3 linked regions of the Lonchura striata genome follow. The protein of the gene in region 2 purifies or fractionates together with the protein of the main gene of each other region. This does not show direct contact. Links are inferred from orthologs where the notes say so. Each region holds a gene or a part of one and is shown on either strand. Other genes may lie near its edges. The genes, in order: RBM25, PRPF40A and NCBP3.

The links.
Region 1: the proteins of PRPF40A (region 2) and RBM25 purify together in Homo sapiens (affinity purification with mass spectrometry; 5 studies listed by BioGRID and IntAct, with this or other methods). This does not show direct contact. The link is inferred for Lonchura striata from reciprocal best matches to the Homo sapiens genes PRPF40A and RBM25.
Region 3: the proteins of PRPF40A (region 2) and NCBP3 purify together in Homo sapiens (affinity purification with mass spectrometry; 3 studies listed by BioGRID and IntAct, counting the BioPlex papers as one, with this or other methods). This does not show direct contact. The link is inferred for Lonchura striata from reciprocal best matches to the Homo sapiens genes PRPF40A and NCBP3.

Annotation. Positions count from the first base shown.
Region 1 is NC_134608.1:35,553,497-35,560,401, reverse strand, and holds the start of RBM25 (RNA-binding protein 25), read right to left. Parts: upstream 3,095-6,905; 5' UTR 2,980-3,094; intron 1-2,979. UniProt on the Homo sapiens protein: RNA-binding protein that acts as a regulator of alternative pre-mRNA splicing. Involved in apoptotic cell death through the regulation of the apoptotic factor BCL2L1 isoform expression.
Region 2 is NC_134610.1:1,399,923-1,407,851, reverse strand, and holds the start of PRPF40A (pre-mRNA-processing factor 40 homolog A), read right to left. Parts: upstream 3,007-7,929; 5' UTR 2,954-3,006; coding exon 2,918-2,953; intron 540-2,917; coding exon 402-539; intron 1-401.
Region 3 is NC_134622.1:6,723,138-6,730,365, reverse strand, and holds the start of NCBP3 (nuclear cap-binding protein subunit 3), read left to right. Parts: upstream 1-4,218; 5' UTR 4,219-4,260; coding exon 4,261-4,413; intron 4,414-5,986; coding exon 5,987-6,052; intron 6,053-6,781; coding exon 6,782-6,887; intron 6,888-7,228. UniProt on the Homo sapiens protein: Associates with NCBP1/CBP80 to form an alternative cap-binding complex (CBC) which plays a key role in mRNA export. NCBP3 serves as adapter protein linking the capped RNAs (m7GpppG-capped RNA) to NCBP1/CBP80.

The sequences.
Region 1 (6,905 bases), on a different chromosome or scaffold from region 2:
CTGACATACATAGAAACAAGTCTGCCAAACAAAACTAATTTGAGTTAAGACCCTAATGTCTCCACTACATGTTTTGGGGAGGCCCACCCCAATAAAACAAATGCCAGTTTGTACGTTTGAGTGCATTTTTTTAATATATTTTCATCCAAAAGGAACCTAGCTTATCCACAATAAGCTAGGAATAGCACAAACCAATATGAAAAAAACTTCCTAAATGATGATGACTGTGATACTTCCTTCAAGAACACATCCTTGATCCAAGTGAACACAGTAACGTAGGTGCATACTTTATTAGCCTCGGGCCATTTCTCTAAGCAGATTTAATTTCTCTAAGCAGATTAATTATATCATGGATGGCAAAACACCTAAGTTTAATGCCATGCAGACTAAGCTCAAAAACAGCCTGAGCTACTAAGGCAAGTGCTACATAAACACAGCTATAATATTCCAGGTTCAACTTTGGCCTAGAATGAACTCAGCTGCCTTCTACACTGCACTTCTGACTTAAGTCCTGGTAGAACCAAGCAACATGCAGAGCAATCTGCACCAATCTTCTGAAACTTGGAGAGAGTACAGGGACAGCCATAGGTTCTAAGGTTAAGTAAAATCCACTGAGACTGGGAAATCTTGTCATGATGAGATGCCTGCTGGGATGGAGCTCTGTCCACTAGGAGCATTCTGGCTGATTTACAACTAAGCAAACGCAGAGAGCTCACCTTAGGGCTGGAAGAAAGTGTCTGAGTCCACACAGAACTCAAAACTACTATGAAACAAGGATCACCATCACCCAGACACTGCTGCCTTGTTCTTCTTTATCATCTCTGACTCCTAGAAGTCCCAATAAGAGGGGACTGAGATTGTACTGGTCTGGCTGCACTGTTAACACAGTAATTTCTTTTTAAATCATAGTATTTTTTAACCTTCTGTTTTACTGACTCCATTTTTTTTAAACAGAGGTGAAGAGATATGTCATAAGCAGAATGCAAACTCAATAAAAATTGCTGGCAGTGAAGGTATTTTAAATTGATAATCCCATCATCTACTTAAGGCAGCATCATAATTCTACCACTGTTACAGAATTAATATCAGTATCTCTGTTTATACATCAGAAACTTTATGTGTTAAAAGTTTTATTAATTTAGAAACTTGCAAAACATCTTAACCAATTTCAAAGTTCCCATGAAGCAACCAGTTACCATACTTACTACTGTTACACCAAAGTTAAAACTGACTGCAAAACCCCTCAAGTCTTAATGCACAAAACTCACGTGTTTTAGGAATGCATACATGAGGTGACATAGCAACAGTGAGAGTATGGCTGACATAGTTTGATTTAATTTTATCTGATTTTAACTTCCTTTCAGTATTTCCCCAAAACACTTCTGCACCACAAAAAGTCTGTGCCTTTAGTCTAGAATAACTTGCACAAAATGGCTGTGCAGGCTGAAGAAAAGATACACAACAAACTTTTCTGTTAAAGTCTGTACTCTCACAGGCTTGTGCCTTGGTCTCTACACAATGGGTGGATATTTAAGCCATTCCATTATAAAAGCAACCTCCTAGTTTGTCACCCAACAAAGAAGCTGTTTATATTATTACTTGTTGTCAAAAAGGCTCCCTAAAAGAAAAATCTTCTATTCCAAGCCAACTGGTTTCCTCAGTGAAAATGACCATTTTCTCAGACCCCTACAGTTTTCTCCAAAATGGCCTGCAAGCAAAGCAAGATTTAAATGTTAAACACCGCACGCATGGGGAGAGATAAAATATATTATAGGTATCCTAAGCTAAAAACAAAAATACTAGTACTTGCTCTAGCTTGTTTTTCAGAAGTCATCTAGAAAGAGTTTAGTAACTGCTGTGGAATAGTTGCATCCCACCCTGTTATTATGAAGCAACACAAAAAGCAACATGTTTACCCCAACCAAAGCCTCCGTCCCAAAGCCCTTTAAGCAGGGCTCCATTAAGTATGTCATGAGAACTTAAAAGATATTTGATTTAATTCCTAATTCTATGCCTCTGCACCTATATAAAACCCTGGTTAGTGAAGTAAGTGACTTTCCATTCTAACTTGGCTATTGACTCTTCCCAAAACAGAAACTCCTTCTCAGGGGAAGTAAGAAACTCTGCTATTCTTCCTTATAATTTGCTCTGGACTCACCCCATAAATGCTGATGCAATACCTGAACCAATGCTTTCCTGCCACACACAAAAAAAGGACCAATACTCAGTGAGTGTATTTTAGGCTCAATGGGCTAAGAAATAGAAAACTTTTGAGAGCTCACTTTCTCTAAGGCCGTTTAAGACCTAAAAAAAGAAACAACAAAACCGTTAGTTGTGTTCAGGATATTCCCTGTGTTGAAACAAAAAACCCCTCCTCCAAGCAGACAAAGGTCTTTTTCTTCAACGGAAAAAGACATTATGAGAAAAACATGCCGTGTGCACATCACAACGGCTCCCGACACGGATGAATCACTCCCGATTATTTTACGCACGACCTGCCAACACGTGTTTTAAGAAGACCACGCCAATCCACGCTAAAGACAATAACTTCCTTGTCGCAATATATCACGTTTCCTAGCGTGATCGGTTTCCCCGACGTGCAAAAGCAAAAATCCCACCCACAGTCTAAGGCGGCCGGGCGCCAGCAAAGCTCCGCGCAGCTCCGGGTCCCGGCCGTGCCACGGGCTCCCCTCGCCTCCCGCGGGGCCGCTCCCGTCCCTCTCGCCGGGGCGGCGGAATGGGCCCCTCCGCGTCCCAGCGGGAGACGACGCGAGCGGGTCTCGCGAGCACCGCCCCGAGGCCGCTCGTCCGTTCCACGCCCCGTCCAGGCCCGAGCCGCCTCCCCAGCGAGCGCCCGCCGCGGCCCAGCGGCCTCGGCCGGTCCCGGCCGTGCCTCCGCCCAGCGGGCGGCCGAGGCGCCGCCGCCGCCTGCCCTCCCTCCTTGCCTCCCTCTTGCCCGCGCAGCCCCCCGGGTCTCACCCTCGGAGCGGAGCGGGGCGGGGATGGCGCGGGGGAGGCGCTGGGCCGGCTGAGGCCCCGCTAGGCCGCGAACGCACCGCGCCGAGCCGCTGCCGCCGCGCCGCGCGGGGTCATGTGACCCGCCTCTTCCGCCAGCGGCCCGGCGTGCACCGCGCCGCGCCACCACAGAGCCGGCCGCGCCAGAGCGCCCCCAGGCGGCGCCGCGGCCGGCCGTGGAGCGGCGGCGGAAGGCGGGCAGCCAAGGGGCATGCGCGCCGCCGCCATCTTTAGCGGGGGCGGCGCGGGGCCGTGACCCGGCCGGAGCGCCGCCATGTCGGGGCCAGGGTGGCCCGAGGGCCTGGAAGCCTCCGGCGGCGGGGCCACGGAGCTTGGCCGTCTGTCAGCCGTCATGGCCCCCTCAGACAGACACCCAGCCCAGGGACGGGCTGTACCGCAGGCAGGGAATCCCCTCCCTCGACCTGCCCTCATTGTTTGGGATGCAGCCCAGGATACAGCTGGCTTTCGTGGAAGGTTCTGTGTGCTGTAAAAGACTTAAGGATTTACACAGCAAAAAGAGTGAGCACTACCTTTTTAGGCAGCCGCATGCTCGTCAGAAAGATGTCACTGTGCTGTTGGGCCTAGCCATGGTCTACAACTGGTAGTTTCTCTGACCTACTTTCAGCATTTGGACTACATTAAGAGCCAATTTTCAACATGACATGCAAGACAGTAATTGCTGTAGTTATACCGCTGTTGGAAATAAGTTGCAAGTGGAAAGAGGAAGTGACTATGAATGAGAAGAACATGATCTTACAGATTATTATGAGGTAGACCACAAAATGACCATGTGCATAAAACTGTTTAAAAAATGTTGGATTAGGTAAGGGAAAAAAATGTGTTGTATTTTCCATTGTTTAAAGAAAAGTGTTCAAAAGACAAGAGTCCAATGACAAAATCTCCACCTGTAGGCTGACTTCTTCAGTACAAAGCAGATTAAAACTATCTGGTTGATGTCATATGTGCTACTGAACAGCCAACAACTGTGTTGGAACTAAGGTCCCATTCATCACCTTGCTTTACGTGATGTGTAAGGGTAGATATTCTAGCAATAGCAGATTTAAGAAATATTTCAAGTTTGACTGCAATTTCTTGCCCACCAGAAACAGCAGTTTTGCCTTCTATTAATTACAGCTTATTCCAAACAGCTGGCATATCTCCCTCAAAATAATACAAATTTAGTAACTACAATACTGACTACTGTTAATAGTTAAAAAATTTTATAAGCATACTAGGAAAACCAAGGAAAAGAAAAAGGCATAACAAAAATTTTCAGAATCTTCTCTGTGTTGTCTCAGACAACAACAGCTCAGCTTAAAAAGAAATGTGAATCCCAAACTATTTTGTACTGCTGTAATAAGTTTTTATTTACAGGAAACATTGCAAAGGCTTTGCTCATGTACACATTCATCTATTTTTTTAGCCAAAGAAAGAGGCTATTTTGCATTTATTCTTCTTACACAAATAAACTATAGCCTTCTGTATCCTTCTTAATCAAGGAAGAATAGCTGCAGAAGTATCCAGTAAATGTAGCTATTTTCCTGTCTTTACTCTTTCTGCTATGGGATTTTAGAATTGCCCACCCCTGGTGCCTGTATTATCTTCCTGCCTTTACTTATGCAACTGAGATCCCTTTTCCAGATACTGATCACTATTCATTTTTTTCAGTTCTCACGGCAAACTCCAGAATTTTGTGCTCAAGCCAAGCATGAAGATTGTAGTACATGGCTTTTAATATTAAGGTTAAAATTAAGAGGTGCGTTTTTGTCTGCCTTGTATTTCAAGCATGAGAAATCATCCCAAAAATGTTCGGCAGTACCTCAGGGTACCGGGGTCACATTGTTTCTAGACTATGTATTTTAAAAATTTTATATGCATGTTTTTCTTCCCTTCTTCATATCCTTTAATTGCTCCACCACATTGCCAGTCTAAATAGAGGCACTTCGAGGAAGATCCCTTAGATGCCAGACTCATTGATCTCATTCCTTGGCTCCTCTGAATAGCACTGTGAGATTTAAAAGTTTCTACTTCATATGTATTAGTTTAATTCATTATTCGGGATCTTTTCAGTCTGAAGACATTTGGTTCACCAAAACTGTATTCTTGTAGATGTCAGTCTATTTTGTCAATCTCTTAAATTAATCTTTCATGAAAATACATTATTGTAACAGCGTGAAAGAGAACAGGGAAGAGAGTTACTGTGCCAGTCTTCAGTCATTCATCATCACTAAGCTACATAAAAAAATAATTAAATCATGTATATGCCTACACAAATATATATATATAGTACAGTCTAGTGTAATGAAAGTTCTTCAGCAATACACTTTAATTCTGAGAGGGCCTCAGTCATTCCTTGTGTTAGAAAATTCATTGATGCCTCATTTTCACAGTAATTGGATCTGTTGACTCAGTTTTGTGAAGTGATGATACTTCAAAGTAATTACCTTGTAATTTAACTCCATTTTAAAACTGTTTGTCCAAAACTGAAGCAGGAGACCAAAGAACAGGGCACCTTGTAGCTGTCTATTAGTCGTATCAATTTGTAATGTCCACTGAAGGAAAAGAGTGCATGTCCCTCCTCTGATGAAGTAACCACTAGCATTTGAGCCAAATAACCAGCCGAAAACTCTTGTTACTTTAGAAGATGAATTGCCTGTGCACTGGTTATGCTACAACATGTTTTTGCATATTATCTAAATCAGCGAATGAAAAACAACTCATTATGAGCCAACATTGGGTTTGGAGCCACTACTGGCCAAGGCTGCTTCCTCACCGAATGCTTTCTTTGATCATCTCTGTCTGGCGTTCACCTCCCATTCCCATGGCTCCAGTGAATCTGCCATTTCTTGGCAGGTGTGTGCCTCTGTTTTGGACCTGCAGTCCCTTTCAGCTATATAAATTATGGCTGTTTACCCATAGGTTGAAGCTACAGTCATGGAAGAAACCCCAGAGGCTCCAGTGACAGTGACCAGTGGCTCTCTATGTCAAGACTTCATTTAAACCGATGAGTGGCAGGTGAGATTTGGGCACCAAGTGCTCTCCTCTCAGGTGGACACTGTGATCGATCCATTCGTTTGCCAGACGTGGAGGCCTGGAGCAGCTGCCTTGTCATTCTCCAGGCGGTGGGAGGAGAGAGCTTCGCTACATTTTTCACCCCTTTAAACCCTTCTGGGGGCTGTTTACACTCCTCCGGCGCAGCTCCTTGGGAACCCAGGCAGGTGTGAGACAGTGGGGCGAAAACGAAATGAGGGGAGTAAAAAACTTCGTTGTCACCGCAAGGTCCGCGGCACCGCGCCCCCCCCGCCACGGGCACCGCACGTCCCGGCCGGCGCGGCGAGCCCGGGGCGGTGCAGCCTCCGGACTACAACTCCCGGCGTGCCAGCGCCGCCCCGCCTCCAGCTCGCCGCCTTCCCGTCTCCGCGGTGAGAAAATAACCCCGAAGTTCCCCGCGATCAGCTGATCCCGGCTGACAACGAGGGAGCGGGCGGAGGGGGCGCGGGTCCTGGCCGGCCCTGCCCTGCTCAGTTCCCCCGGGCGCCCCGACTGCATGGTCGACCCCTGGGGGAGAAGAACCGGGAGATCCCCCCCGGGCGCGGAGGGCACGGGGGGGAGGAGGAAGCCGCGGCCGGGACCCGAGTCCTTAGTCACCGGGTGCCGGCGGGAGGAAGGGGAAGAAAGGTGGCCGCCGGCTTGTAAACAATAGCCCGGCTCGCGGCGCCCCGTGCCGCGCCGCCTTTGTTCCCAGTCCCGCCGCGGCTCCCGCCCGCTGCCGCTGCTCGGCGGGAGGAACCCGGGGGCTTCCCCCTTGCTGGCCGGCCGGCGCCGGGCGCAGCCCCAGGTAGGTCTGGGCGCGGGGGGAGGCGCCGGCCGGCACCGCCGTTACGTAACCG
Region 2 (7,929 bases):
CTTTTCCCATTCCAAAAAACATGAATCGATCCCAATATATTGATTGATAATTCAAGTTACAGGTGCATTAATTACCTTTTCTCCTTCCAAAAAACAACTTGAATCAATCCCAAATTCTGGATTGAAAATTAAGAGGTGCATTACATTATCTGTTTTCATTCCAAAAAACTTGACTCGATCCCAAATTCTGGATTGAAAATGAAGCTAGAGGTGCATTAATTACCTGCTCCCATACCAATTACTAACTGAAGTCACCAAGGTGCATCCACTCCCTGCTGCCCGTAAGAAGGGTTTTCCCCCGGTTAGGATAAACTCCCGAATTCTCTCCTCTCCCTCTCCCAGGGAGCTGGAGGGATCCCTTTTCCTGAGGGATGGAGCAGGAGCTGCTGGAATTGCCTTACCTGCCCCATCGGGGGTCCCCCCATGGGGGGCATCATCTGCGGCATCATCCCGTGGGGGACCGGGGGCATGTTGGGGGGTCTCTGCCCCATGGGGTGCATCCCCATCGGGGGGTAGTGGGGCATTCCCGGGTGGCCCATCTGGAAAACAACCAGGGAAAAAAATCAGCGGCGAGGCGAGCGCCCCAGACACACCCAGCAGGGGGAAAAGGAGATCCCCTTCCCTGGGCTTTTCAGGGATTCAAACACTCCCAGAGATTTCTGTTCCACAGCTCTCGGAGTTCCTTAGGATAAAACCCAGGCAGAGTTTCCATTTGGAAAATATAGTTAGCAGGAAAGGGAAAAAAAAAACCAAATTATTGAAGACACAATCCCAGAATGGTTTGGGTAGGAGGGACCTGAATGCCTCCAGTTTCAGCCTCTGGGACACCTTCCACTGTCCCAGGTGCTCCAACCTAGCCTTGGACACTTCCAGGGATGAGGCAGCCTGGAATTCCACCCCAGGAATCCCCACCCTCACAGGGGAGGAATTCTCCCTTAATTTCCGCACCTTTCAGTTTTTCAATGATTCCTTCCTTGTGTGGGTGACAGGTGCCCAGAGAGGGTTTGGGGGGCAGGGACTCATGCCCAAAAAGCCCCACCTGCACACGAGTAGGAACTTCTTCCTGTGTGGGCTCCAGGTGCCAGAGAGGGTTTGATGGGCAGGGAGTGATGCCCAGGAAGTGCCTCCTGCACACTACCAAGAATTCCTTCCCTGTGCGGGCATCACTGCCCAGAGAGGGTTTGGTGGGCAGGGACTGATGCCTAGGAAGCCCCACCAGCACAGGACCAAGAACTCCTTCCTTGTGTGGGTGACAGGCAGGGACTGATGCCCAGGAATGCCACCTGCACAGGAGCAGGAACTCCTTCCCTGTGAGGGTGTCAGGTGCCCAGAGAGGGTTTGATGGACAGGGACTGATGCCTAGGAAGTGCCACCTGGAAGTGCCACTTGCACAGAAGCAAGAACTCCATCCTTGCGTGGGTGACAGGCAAGGACTGATGCCCAGGAAGTGCCACCTGCACAGGAGCAGGAACTCCTTCCTTGTGTGGGCTCCAGGTGCCCAGAGAGCTCTGATGGGCAGGGACTGATGCCCAGGAACACAAGCAAGAACTCCTTCCCTGTGTGAGCTCCAGGTGCCCAGAGAGGGTCTGATGGGCAGGGACTGATGCCCAGGAAGTGCCACCTACACAGGACCAAGAATTCCTTCTCTGTGTGGGTGACAGGCAGGGACTGATGCCCAGGAATGCCACCTGCACAGGAGCAGGATCTCCTTCCTTGTGTGGGCTCCAGGTGCCCAGAGAGGTCTGATGGGCAGGGACTGATGCCCAGGAAGTGCCACCTGGAAGTGCCACTTGCACAGAAGCAAGAACTCCATCCTTGCGTGGGTGACAGGCAAGGAGTGATGCGCAGGAATGCCACCAGCAGAGGACCAAGAATTCCTTCTCTGTGCAGGTGACTATCAGGGACTGATGCCCAGGAATGCCATCTGCACAGGAACAGGAACTCCTTCCTTGTGTGAGCTCCAGGTACCCAGAGAGGTCTGATGGGCAGGGACTGATGCCCAGGAACACAAGGAAGAACTCCTTCCTTATTCGGGCTCTAGATGCCCAGAGAGGGTCTGATGGGCAGGGACTGACGCCCAGGTAGTGCCACCTGCACAGGAGCAGGAACTCCATCCTTATACAGGTGCCAGGTGCCCAGGGAGGATTTGACAGGCAGGGACTGATGCGCAGGAATGGCACCAGCAGAGGAACAGGATCTCCTTCCTTGTGTGGTCTCCAGGTGCCCAGAGAGGTCTGATGGGCACGGACTGATGCCCAGGAACACAAGCAAGAACTCCTTCCCTGTGCGGGCTCCAGGTGCCCAGAGAGGGCTTTACAGACAAGAACCGATACCCACGAGGTGCCACCTGCACAGGAGCAGGAACTCCTTCCCTGTGTGGGCTCCAGGTGCCCAGAGAGGGTCTGATGGGCACGGACTGATGCCCAGGAACACAAGCAAGAACTCCTTCCCTGTATGAGCTCCAGGTGCCCAGAGAGGTCTGATGGGCAGGGACTGATGCCCAGGAACACAAGCAAGAACTCCTTCCCTGTATGAGCTCCAGGTGCCCAGAGAGGTCTGATGGGCACGGACTGATGCCCAGGAACACAAGCAAGAACTCCTTCCCTGTATGAGCTCCAGGTGCCCAGAGAGGTCTGATGGGCAGGGACTGATGCCCAGGAACACAAGCAAGAACTCCTTCCCTGTGCGGGCTCCAGGTGCCCAGAGAGGTCTGATGGGCAGGGACTGATGCCCAGGAACACACGCAAGAACTCCTTCCCTGTGCGGGCTCCAGGTGCCCAGAGAGGGTTTTACAGACAAGAACCGATACCCAGGAATCCCACCTGCACAGGAGCAGGAACTCCACCCCCGCGCGGGCCAGCTCCCCGAGCCCGTTCATGGATTTGCCCCCGCTCCCCCGGCCCGGCGCGGCACTGACCATGAGCGAGGCGCGGTCCACGGCGGCGGGGCGCATGGCGGGGCTGAGCAGCGAGCCGCCGCAGCGGCCCAGCAGGCGGCCGCGCAGGGGCGGGCGCGGCGCGGCGGGCCCGAAGGGCAGCAGCGGCTCGGGCTCGCCGCGGGGCGGCAGCAGCGGCGCCAGCAGGCTGACCGGCTTCCCCGCCGGCCAATCGGGCCGCGCCGCCAGCCGCGCGCTCTTCGGCGATTGGTCCGCGCCCGAGCCCACCGGCCGCACCGCGTCGCCCGGAGTCAGCTGCATCAGGGGCGGCGGTTTCGGCAGAGAGAACGGCAGAGGCTGCGGGGAGGCGGCGGCGGCCGCGGCGGTGGAGTCGCCGCCGGACATGCTGGCGGGGAGCGGGGCGGCCCCGCGGCGGCGCGGGCGGCTCGGCCGGGAGCGCGGCGCGCGGAGCGGAGCGGCGGCTGCGGCGGCCGAGCGCGGGGCACGCCGGGAGAGCGCTCACGTGGGGCCGGGGGAGGTGCGCGCTGCGCCGGGCGGCACCAACAGCGCCGGAAGGAGGGGGTGGTTTCGCGCGCCGCAGCTCCAACTCGGCGGGAGGTGGCGGTAGAGCTCCCCTCAGGCGGACGCGGGTGGTACGCGCCGGGTCAGTGTACCCCCCCCTCTGCGTGACGGTGGTACGTGCCGAGCGCGGCCGGGGTGGCGCCGGTCCCCCCCCCGGGCCGCGCGCAGTGGTTGGTGCCGCTGAGGGGAGCGGCCGCGGGGATCGGGAATGGGAACCGGGAATGGGAATGGGAACCGGGAATGGGAACCGGGAATGGGAACAGGAAATGTCCCGCTGGGATCGGGAATGGGAACCGGGAATGGGAACCGGGAATGGGAACAGGGAATGGGAACCGGGAATGGGAACAGGGAATGGGAACAGGGAATGGGAACCGGGAATGGGAATGGGAACCGGGAAATGGGAACAGGGAATGGGAACAGGGAATGGGAACAGGGAATGTCCCATTGGGAATGAGGAATGTCCCGCTGGAACCGGGAATGGGAACCGGGAATGGGAACAGGGAATGGGAACCGGGAATGTCCCTCTGGGATCGGGAATGGGAACCGGGAATGGGAACCGGGAATGGGAACCGGGAATGGGAACAGGGAATGTCCCGCTGGGATCGGGAATGGGAACAGGGAATGGGAATGGGAACCGGGAAATGGGAACAGGGAATGGGAACAGGGAATGTCCCGCTGGGATCGGGAATGGGAACAGGGAATGTCCCGCTGGGATCGGGAATGGGAACAGGGAGTGGGAACCGGGAAATGGGAACAGGGAATGGGAACCGGGAAATGGGAACAGGGAATGTCCCTCTGGGATCGGGAATGGGAACCGGGAGTGGGAACCGGGAAATGGGAACAGGGAATGGGAACCGGGAAATGGGAACAGGGAATGTCCCATTGAGAATATGGGAATGTCCCTCTGGGATCGGGAATGGGAACCGGGAGTGGGAACCGGGAAATGGGAACAGGGAATGGGAACCGGGAAATGGGAACAGGGAATGGGAACAGGGAATGTCCCATTGAGAATATGGGAATGTCCCTCTGGGATCGGGAATGGGAACCGGGAGTGGGAACCGGGAAATGGGAACAGGGAATGGGAACCGGGAAATGGGAACAGGGAATGTCCCATTGAGAATATGGGAATGTCCCATTGGGAATGGAGAATGTCCCGCTGGGATTGGGAATGGGAACCAGTAATGTCCCATTGGGAACCGGAAATAGGAACCGGGAATGTCCCATTGGGAACCGGGAATGTCCCATTGGGAACCGGGAATAGGAACCGGGAATGTCCCATTGGGAACCGAGAGTGTCCCGCTGGGATCGGGAATGGGAACCGGGAATGTCCCATTGAGAACCAGGAATGTCCCATTGGGAACCGGGAATAGGAACCGGGAATGTCCCATTGGGAACCGAGAGTGTCCCGCTGGGATCGGGAATGGGAACCGGGAATGTCCCGTTGGGAACCGGGAGTGTCCCGCTGGGAATGTCCCATTGGGAACCAGGAATGTTCCATTGGAAATGTCCCATTGGGAATGGGGAGTGTCCTGCTGGGGATCAGGAATGTCCCGGAGGAATGGGCAGTGTCCCATTGGGAATGGGGAATGTCCCGTTGGGAATCGGGAATGTCCCGCTGGGATCGGGACGCGCTCCGGGAGCTCTGGCAGCTGCGAGGCCGTGGCTGTGCCAGGGGCAGCCTCAGCTTCTTTGGGAATTCCAGCCCACCCTCCCAGCCAGAATTCCCAATTCCCAAAATCCCTCCCAGCCAGAATCCCCAATTCTGCGGGATAAATGAATTTAAGTGGGGACTCCAAAGCGGAACGACTCAGGATATCCAGGGAATGATCTCTGCCCCCTTGGCATGTTTATTTATCCATGTTTTTCTTCCTGAAGTTACAAAACTTGGAATATTTTCCTGTCCCCTGCCCATGTCTCGTTCTTCCCCTTGAGCAGAGGGATCGTCAGGGATGTGGATTTATTTTCCATGATATTCCTGGATTTCCACACGCCTCCACGGTTTTCAAACACCTCATTTTGCATTTTGGGGTACAGATATTTAATCAATCCCGTGGCTGCTGTCAGCCAGGGGCTGGTTTGGCTCGGCTCATGGAAATATGGAATTATTGGGATAAAAAAGGACAAAAATTCCTGCAATCCCACATTCCCGTGGGCAGGGACACCTCCCCTCTCCCAGGTTCTTCCTTGGACTCTTGGGATAAACACCAACCCTCACCTCCCCGAGCTTAAAGAATTCTCTAAATCCACCCAAAAAGGTCTTGATTAATCCGATTTTTCGGCCATGATCAAGCAGTGAAATTAAAATTTAAATTGATTTTCAATTAAATCTTGAAATCTCATTTCAGTCTCTCCCGGTGTGCAGGGAGCAGAGCTCCAGCGGGGCACAGCTGCTTTTGGCAGCCCAAGGTGTAACTTTAGTACTTGGAGTATTTTTATTTCTTTATTTTTAAGCACAGCTGCCTCAAATCAGTCCAAATCAAGTGAATTGATTTAATTTTTTTTCCTGATTTTTTAAACTTTTTTTTGTGTTTTTACAGAAATTTTGATAGAGCATCCAATCCTTCACTCTTCTTCCTGATCCTGGAGGAAACTTCTGCTTTTTAACCTGGATTTTCAGGCAGGATTTGTAGGAAATACAGAACTCCAAAATTTTTTAAAAATTGTAATACAAATTCTGAAATAAGAGAACTTTGAAGTAAAAATTCTGAAATAAAACTTTTGAATTGCAGATTCTGAAAATAGAAATTCTGAAAATAGAAATTCTGAAAATAGAAATGCTGAAATAAAAATTCTGAAATAAAAATTCTGAATTGCAGATTCTGAAATAGAAATTCTGAAATAGAAATTCTGAAATAAAAATTCTGAATTGCAGATTCTGAAATAGAAATTCTGAAATAAAAAAATCTGAGCTGAAAGTTCTAAAATAGAAAACTGTGCAATGTAAATTTGAAAACGCAAACTCTGAGATAAAAAACCCCGAGACGCAAATTCTGAAATGCGAATTCAGGAATAAAAACCTCCAAAATAAAAACAGAAGTGAAAATTCTGAAATAAAAATTCAGGAACGCAAATTTTGAAATAAAACCCCTGAAATTTAAATTCTGCAACGCAAATTCTGAAACATGGAATTCTGGAATATAAGATATTTGGGACAATGAGCTCTGGAATTCCCTTTCCATGGAATTTTACCTGTTAGCTGGAATATATTTAACCAGTGATCTTTATTTTTTCTCGTAGAAAAACTTTTATTTCCTGTAAACTGAATATAAAATTGCTCTCGGGTGTTTCCCAGGATTTCCTGTGGAAAGGCAGAGAATTCCAGGCGAATTCCTGGAGCGGCCAGCAGGGAGAGGGCTCGCACAGGGAATCTCGGCTTGTCCCGGCATCCTGAATCGGCGGCCGGGCAAGGAGGGAAAGGAGAGGACTTGGAAATGGATTTTTCATTTCCCGTGCCTTTGGAATTCTGGCATTCCCGGGAAAACGCGGTTTGGCTGCCGGAGCCGCGGCTCCAGCCCCGCCGGGGAACCGCGCTCGGGGCATTCCCAAAGGCGGGATCCGTCCTGCGGGATCCGTGCAGTGAGATCCATGCAACAGGATCCAGCAGCATCCATCCAACGGGATGCAACCAGTGGGATCCATCCGGTGGGATCCATCCAGTGGGATGCATCCCGTGGGATCCATGCAACCGGTTCCATGCAACGGGATCCATCCAATGGGATCCAGCGACATCCATCCAACAGGATCCATCCAGTGGGATCCATCCAGTGGGATCCAACGGGATCCATGCAATGGGATCCATCCCACAGGATCCGTGCAGTGGGATCCATCCAACAGGATCCAGCGGGATCCATGCAACGGGCTCCATCTAGTGGGATTCATCCAGTGGGATCCATCTGGTGCAATCCATCCAATGGGATCCAGTGGGATCCAAGCAACAGGATCCAGCAGGATCCATCCAGTGGGATCCATCCAGCAGGATCCATGCAACAGGAGGATCCAGTGGGGTTCCATTCAGTGGGATTCCATCCAACTGCATCCAGTGGGATCCATCCAGTGAGATCCATCCCGTGGGATCCCATGGTATTCCATCCAATGGGATCCTGTGGGATTCAATCCAATGGGATCCAGCAGGATTCTATCCAGCAGGATTCATCCAGTGGGATCCAATGGGATTCAATAAAATGGAATCCAGCAGGATCCATCCAGTGGGATCCAGAAGGATTCAATGCAATGGGATCCAGCAAGGTCCATCCAGTAGGATCCAGTGGAATTTCATGCAACGGGATCCAGCAGGATTCAATGCAATGGGATCCAGCTGGATCAAATGAAATGGGATCTGGTGGGATTTGCTCCAGTGGGATCCAGCGGGATTCAATGCAATGGGATCCATCTGGATCCATCCAGTGGGATCCGGCGGGATTTGCTCCAGTGGATCCAGGGGGATCCCATCCCATGGGATCCAGCGGGCAGCT
Region 3 (7,228 bases), on a different chromosome or scaffold from region 2:
CTGCAAAATAAAAAGTTTTGCTTTATTCAGGGCAGTTCACTGACTGCATTCCCACAGAGGTCTGCAACAGGGAAGAGCTTAGGTTCCACTGGTGCCACAGAGGAGCCATGTGTGTGTGGGCATGGACAAACTAAGAGTTCTATTTGTGAAAACAAAGCAATATGTACCACTTTTAGACTATTCTCCAAGATCTCTTAAATGCCAGAGTAATATCTGTCAACGTGTGTAGAATTCTGCTCCAGCTCTGCTCAGTTCTGTGAGCTTTTTTCCAGAAAGGAATCTGCTTTTTCAACTGTGTGGTCTCCCTGTTGCAGCACTTGCATAAACAATGTTAGAGCACTGCTATCCCTGACTCTGAGGGTGCTGTGCTCCTCCCTGCATCCAATATTCTGGTTTTTTGTAGGGCCCTGTAGCTGTCTCCTGCATAGGACTCTGGCATTGTGTCAGGTTCCAGGGTTGTACTAACCTCCACAATATCCCAGTGAGAAAATATTCTTCCTTACAGGTGGGGAGTCTGTGGTTCATCAAATCCATAAGAAAACACCAGGTGCTTGCTTTCAGCCTCACAAATGAACATCCTTCTTCTGCTGATGCTGTTCTCTCTCCAGATGGGCTGGAGCTAGGAGTGAGCCTAATCTTTTTGGAGGTCAGTCCCAGTTTCCGTGGTGATGTGTGGGGTTTGCTGGCCAGCTGCAGGAATAGCACACACACTTCCATGGGTTTTTCACGGGTTTGAAAAGCTGCAGATCCTTGCTGAGAGCCCAGGACGGCAGGAGAGTTAAATCATATCCGCAGGAACACGTGTCCTTTCTGTTCAGTGTTCACAGACCTCAAACAAACAAATCAACCAATACTTTTTTAGAGCAAAATTCACCATTTTTTCCTGATTCCTGCCAGGCCGCTGCAAAAAAGCCTCATTTTTTGAGGGCCCAGAGTCTGTTCTTTTTTCCCTCTCCCTTCCCGGTCCCCGTCTCCCGATTTCCGCCGATCCCAAAACTGCGGGAATTGGCGTTTTCCATCAGGTTTTGGTTTTGGTTTTGGCTCAGGTTGGGACTCCTGCTGCACGAGCTCTCTCTGGTGGTCAAAGCCGGGAAACCAATAACCCCTAAATCCTCCCGTGGGTGTTTTTATTCTGGAATGATTCCATAGGATTTTGGAATAGTTTGGATGGGAAGGGACCTCGTACATTATCCAGGTGCGACCCCGAGCCGTGGACAGGGACCTTCCTCTAGGGCAGGTTGAGAGCCCCATCCAACCTGGCCTTGATCGCTTCCAGGTTATCCACAGCTCCTCTTCTACAGTCACCTTCTCACCTTCATTATTTGTAAAAGCCTTTCCTTACTTGGCATTTCTGATAATAACTGGTAGCCTTTCCCAAATTTCTTTTTCCTCCCCTATTTAAGCTCTGCATCCCTCAGCAGTTTATTACCTTCGCCCCATCCCTGCTGCACAAAGGCTACAACAACGCAGAGCTCTTCTGCCTAAACCTGCTTCCTACAAGTTTGAAAACAATTAACATTTTAAGAATTCAGGTGATCTTTCACAGGCAGAGGGATTGCAGAGAGGAATGTGAAAGAAAAACGAAGCTCTGGGACACTGTCTCAGAAGAATAAAACTAAATCAGCTTGAAATGCCAAAGAATTCACTGCTAATTACAAGATCCTGAAAGGAATAAAGTACAAAATACTATGAAAACATTTTATTCACTCACCTAGCAGTAAAAAGCTCCAGTGGTACACAGGTTTGGTTTCCTTCTCCTGATTTTATTGTCCCTACCAGTTGGTCAGAGATTGTTTTTTCCTAAGAAGCTCTAAAATTTTGGCAGTGTCTAAAGCCACACTCAATCAGTAGAAAGTTTCTTGCTGAGTGCAATGAGTGAATCTTGAAAAGATGCCAAGTATGGAGGGCTGTAGTACAGCAATGTTCTGCCTGAGGTGACATCCAAGGGATGTTAAAACAAAATCAGGAAACACCTGGGTCAGCCCAAGGTTCATCTGCACTCTGCTGACAGCAGTGCAAGGTGACCTGGGGTCACATAACCTTGTCCCAACTGCTCCTTGAAGCGTTTGGCTTTGTCAAGCTGGTCTAGATCACATGGCAGTACTGTGTCCTACTTAGAAAAATAAAACTAAAGAAGTTCCATCTCTTGGTTTCTTTTCCCTGTGACCTAAGAAACAGCATTTCTTCCACAGAAATGTTTCCTCTTGCAATTAGTTCAGGCTCAGCTGCTCGCAGGGGGTGCCTGTGTCCTGTTTATTCCTTTCCTTTGCCTCATGTGGCCTGGAACCTGGCTTCACACCTGGCTTGGAAGTGTCACCTGTGCCAGGAGTTCCTACCAGGTGCTGCTGTGGGATGTCCATGCCAAATGTAGCACTTTTGGTGAACAGTGACAGAAGCCATTGTGTCACAAGCTCTGCGTGAAGACTTGAGAATAAATAATCTTGGAGTGAGTGATGGGTAGAACAATCTCTTGATCCTGCTGGATTTTGTGTAAGGGGAGGAGCCTTTGTGCTGCCAAGTGGGAAATGTCTTTGTGACAAAGTCTAAATTTGAATTTTCCTGGGATGTGCCATCAGCTGTGAGGGAAAGTTAAGCATCCCAGGGGATGGACTGGAGGGGGTTTATTTGTAACATGTGCAGAAATGAGGTGTGGAGCAGCGTGAGCTGGAGGGAAGGGTCCTGCAGCTGGAGAAGTAACAGGAATTCTTAGTGGTGTGACAATAACACACAATGACAGTGGGATGTGGCTGTGTAGCCCGGCAGCTGTGGTGTGAAATAATGATGCCAAGGCAGGAGCAACTCTTCAGCTAGACCAGGATTCTGGTCTGCTGTGTGTGAGGGAATGGAGCTGATTAGTGTCAGTGGGGGAATGAATGTCTCATGGGGACTGATGAAAGCATGTGGTTTATTTAGGCCAAGAAGAGGCAGGGCTGCTCTCCTGGAACAAGCTGAACACCTTGGGATGAGGGGACAAAGAGAATAACTGAGCCTCAGAACAACGGGATGCAACACTGCAGAGAACTGCGAGCTGAGAATTAGTTTGCTTTTATCAGAGGTGTAACATTCCTCTAGTATGGACGGGAAAATTGAACATTAGAGTTCAGATAGTTTAAAAACACATTTTTAGGGGAAGGATGTAAGTTCTGTGTCCGCTCTCCGTGTGCCTTTCCCCAGGGCCGGGGGTACGCGGGGACACGGCGGGGCCGCCCTCTCGCCCGCTGCAGCCGCGCTCTCTGCCCGGTCTGTGTGGCCGTTCTCCACCCTGAGCCCCTGGGCCCTGAACCGGCTCCGTCCGGCCCGGGACGTGCCGGGCTTGCGGTGCGTGGATTCGCGCTGTGCTTGGATTGGGGGTGCGCTGCGTCTCGGGGTGCGCTGAGTCTAGGGGTGCGCTTGATTCGGAGTGCGCTGGATTCGGGGTGCGCTGGATGCGGGGTGTGCTGAGTCTCGGGGTGCGTTGGACTCGGGGTGCGCTGAGTCTCAGGGTGCGCTGAGTCTCGGGGTGCGCTGGTCTCGGGGTGCCTTGGACTCGGGGTACACTGAGTCTCGGGGTGCGTTGGACTCGGGGTGCGTTGGACTCGGGGTGCACTGAGTCTCGGGGTGCGCTGAGTCTCGGGGTGCGTTGGACTCGGGGTGCACTGAGTCTCGGGGTGCGCTGAGTCTCGGGGTGCACTGAGTCTCGGGGTGCGCTGGTCTCGGGGTGAGCTGAGTCTCGGGGTGCGTTGGACTCGCGTCGCGCTGGGCTCCAGGTGCGTTGGGCTTAGGGGGCGCAGCGGGCTCGGGGTGCGCTGGGTCTTGGGGGCGCGTTGGATTCGGGGCGCACCGGGTCTCGGGGGCGCGTTGGATTCGGGGCGCACCGGGCTCGGGGTGCGTTGGATTCGGGGCGCACCGGGCTCGGGGTGCGTTGGATTCGGGGCGCACCGGGCTCGGGGTGCGCTGGATTCGGGGTGAGCTGAGTCTCGGGATGCGTTGGATTCGGGGTGCGCCGGGTCTCGGGGGCGCGTTAGATTCGGGGTGCACCGGGCTCGGGGCGCGTTGGATTCGGGGCGCACCGGGCTCGGGGTGCACCCGGGGGTCCCGCTGGCTCTCAGGGCCCGCTCGCTCTCGGGGGAGGCCGGCCCCGCCGCGCTGCGGGCGGCGCTCGGATCGCGGCGCTCCGCCCGCCCGGCGCTCCCGGCCGCTCTCCGCGCTCGGAGCCGCCCCGCCGCTCCGTGCCGCCCCGCGCTCGTCTCGCTGGCCGCGCTGGGCGGGCCTGGCGGAGCCATGGCGGCCGTGCGGGGCCTGCGGATCTCGGTGAAGGCGGAGGCGAGCAGCGCCACGGCGGAGCCGCGCGGCGCCGAGCCCGAGCCCATGGAGGTGGAGGAGGGAGAGCTGGAGACCATCCCTGTGAGGCGCTCGCTGCGGGAGCTCATCCCGGTGAGGCCCGAGGGGTGTGGGCGAGGAGGGGCTGGCTCCGGCGGCTGGATCCGGGGTGCCTGAGCGCTCTGTGCGGGCTTTTGGGGGGATTCTTGGGAATAGCAGGGAATAGGAGGGGGCTCGGGGGCGAGTCCTGAGGAAGCGGGCGGGATGTGCCTGGGGACGGGCGGAATAAAGGAAGCGGTGGAGAAGAGGATTTGGGGTGCAGTGTTGGGGTGTGGAGGAAGCTGTGGGTGGAGGGGGTACAGGGAATGTTTGATGCCGGGATCTCAGGGAATACCTGGAGCAGGGAACAGGGGCTGACGGCGGATAGCAGAGCTGGGAGGGTGGGCTCTGATGAGTGGGTTTCCTTCACGATGTTTTTCTGCCCTTTTTCACTCGTTGATTGTTTCTCTACAAGTTTTAGTAGGATTAGGTTTAACAACTAGAAATGGGTCAGAGTTTTAAAATCCTAAGTAATCTTTTGCTCTCAAAACTTGGGTGAAAATTGTTTTGGAAGCTAATCTTTAATTAGCTTGTCTACCAACGTGCTTGTGCTTTTACACAACATGTGGCCTGAGAGACAGCATCGTGCTGTACTTCCTTGTGCTCCGTGAGTCAACCTCAGACACTGTGGGGTTTCAACGTTTAAAATCATGTTTACTTTGCTTTTCCTTTCCTAGTAACTCTGGCCATTTGGCAGCATTAGTGCAACTTTTGGTGCTGTTACTAAGAAAAGCGGTTGGATTGTGTGTGTTCTTCGGTCTTTCTAAACTGAGACTAACCTACTTCTAGAAATGGTCCTTTAGCCAAAGTAATTATTGCAGCACAAGTGTAAAGAACTCTTTTGCTCCTAAAGAAAGCAGGAGGTGTTCTTCCAGCTCTAAACTTCTGACAGTTGAGAATGTCAGAATGAAGAGGTGCCATTTTACAAATGCAAACAATGGAGGGCACAGAATTGGGTCATTGGTCCAGGGGCTGTGGGGTTTAGTCCCTCTCTAAATTCACCAGTCCTGACTGACAGAGAGGAAACTTGTAATTTTTCCCCCTCTCATTCTCCATTTTTACCCCCTCTCAGTATCAAAACTGAAGTATTTCACCTCGCGATTTGGAACTTGGGGTTGAAATAATGATAGGAATAAAATGCTACTTGTTTCATTGTGGATGTGGCTTGCTGTTCTCACTTTATGAGATTAAAAACTGCAAACTGACATTTCAATAATCAGGTATCACTGTTAAATCTGCTCATGTGTTACAAGGAAATTATACCCAAACCCAAAATTGTGGAAGTCTTACTCAGGAAAGATGTTTGATGACTTTTTCTGTATTACTGAGAGAGTAAAAGCTTGGCAGCAGCTGACATAGAAACTAAATTCTGTCAAAGGAAAGAATCCTTACAGTGAGGGAAGTTTGGTTCAGTTCATGTGCTTTTACTTTCACTGACATGAGGGTGCCTCTCTGTCCAGGGATGTAGCTTGGATCAAGGAAAAGAGATTCTGTTTCTTGTAGGAATGCTCAGGTGAATTTTTCCGTGTAACAAGTGTGTTGCTTTCAGTGCTCATTGAGATTTCATCACCATTTTGCTCTGTTTCAGGACACCAGTAGGAGATATGAAAACAAAGCTGGAAGTTTCATCACTGGCATAGATGTGACCTCCAAGGTAATTTTTGTGCTATGGCTCTTCAACATTTTGTCATTTTTGCCACTGGAGAGATGGAACCATTTCATTTCTTTCTTTCCCAACATGGACGAAGGCTTAGCCTGGTGTTGAGGTCATTCAGCTGCATGAATCACTGCATATTCCAAAGATACAGAAACCTATAGTGCTTCCTAATAAAATTTGGAGAACAAGGAGCTTCTCAGCTCCCAGTTCCCAAAATTGGACAAGTTCCAGGCAGGCTGTTATTCGTGAGCTACATAAGAGGAGCCTGAGTTGCCAGTCTAAAAAATTCTCTGGAGCCAGTTCTCCAGTGTTAAATTCATGCTCAGAGAAACAAATTTACACTTTTGTATATATTAAAAAACAAGGGAAAAAATAATATAATCTTCAAAGATGAATTTTGCCTGTGGTAGAAAGGCTTCTTTTAGAAGAGGGGTTTTATTTAATATTTGTTAGCAAGGACTAGATAATGTTCCTGTTCCATAATGGAGTCTGTGTTTTTCAAGCCACCTTGTTTCCCATGCATCCTGATTCCCATTGCTGGACCTACACAAAAACTGTTGTGTGACACAGAAATATTTTTGTGAATTACTTCTACATTCTGAAACCTACAGGTCTCTCCAGAATTAACAGAATTGTTAATATAAATTGTTGGCTGTCTGGTAGATTTTAAGTGTCCTCAGTGCAGTTTATTGACCTTGTTTGAGTGCACTGCTTTGCATTTTGCAGGAAGCAATTGAGAAGAAGGAGCAAAGAGCCAAACGCTTCCATTTTCGGGCTGAGGTGAATCTGGCCCAGAGGAACGTGGCCCTGGACCGGGACATGATGAAGAAAGGTACAAGTTCATCCAGCAGTCAGGAGCAAAGATCCCTTTAGTCACCCCCTCACAGTGTCTTGACTTGATTTATCCTGCAATATTTCCTACATTCCCAGAGGTTTTGCCAGATTACTGCTGAAAGGAATCACTTTGAGGTTTTTCCACCTTCTCGTTTGCACATCGTTGTTTTTTAACCTGTTTGACACTTTCCATTTCACTCCTTGTTTTACCAGCCCCAGCACAAAGATGACATTTTTGTGTGTCTTATTTACTATTGCTCAATTCCCAGGATTCACCTTCTGGATCAGTGCTGCTTTAAGAATCTTTAAATGCTCTGTAAAAACCCTGGAGCACTGTGT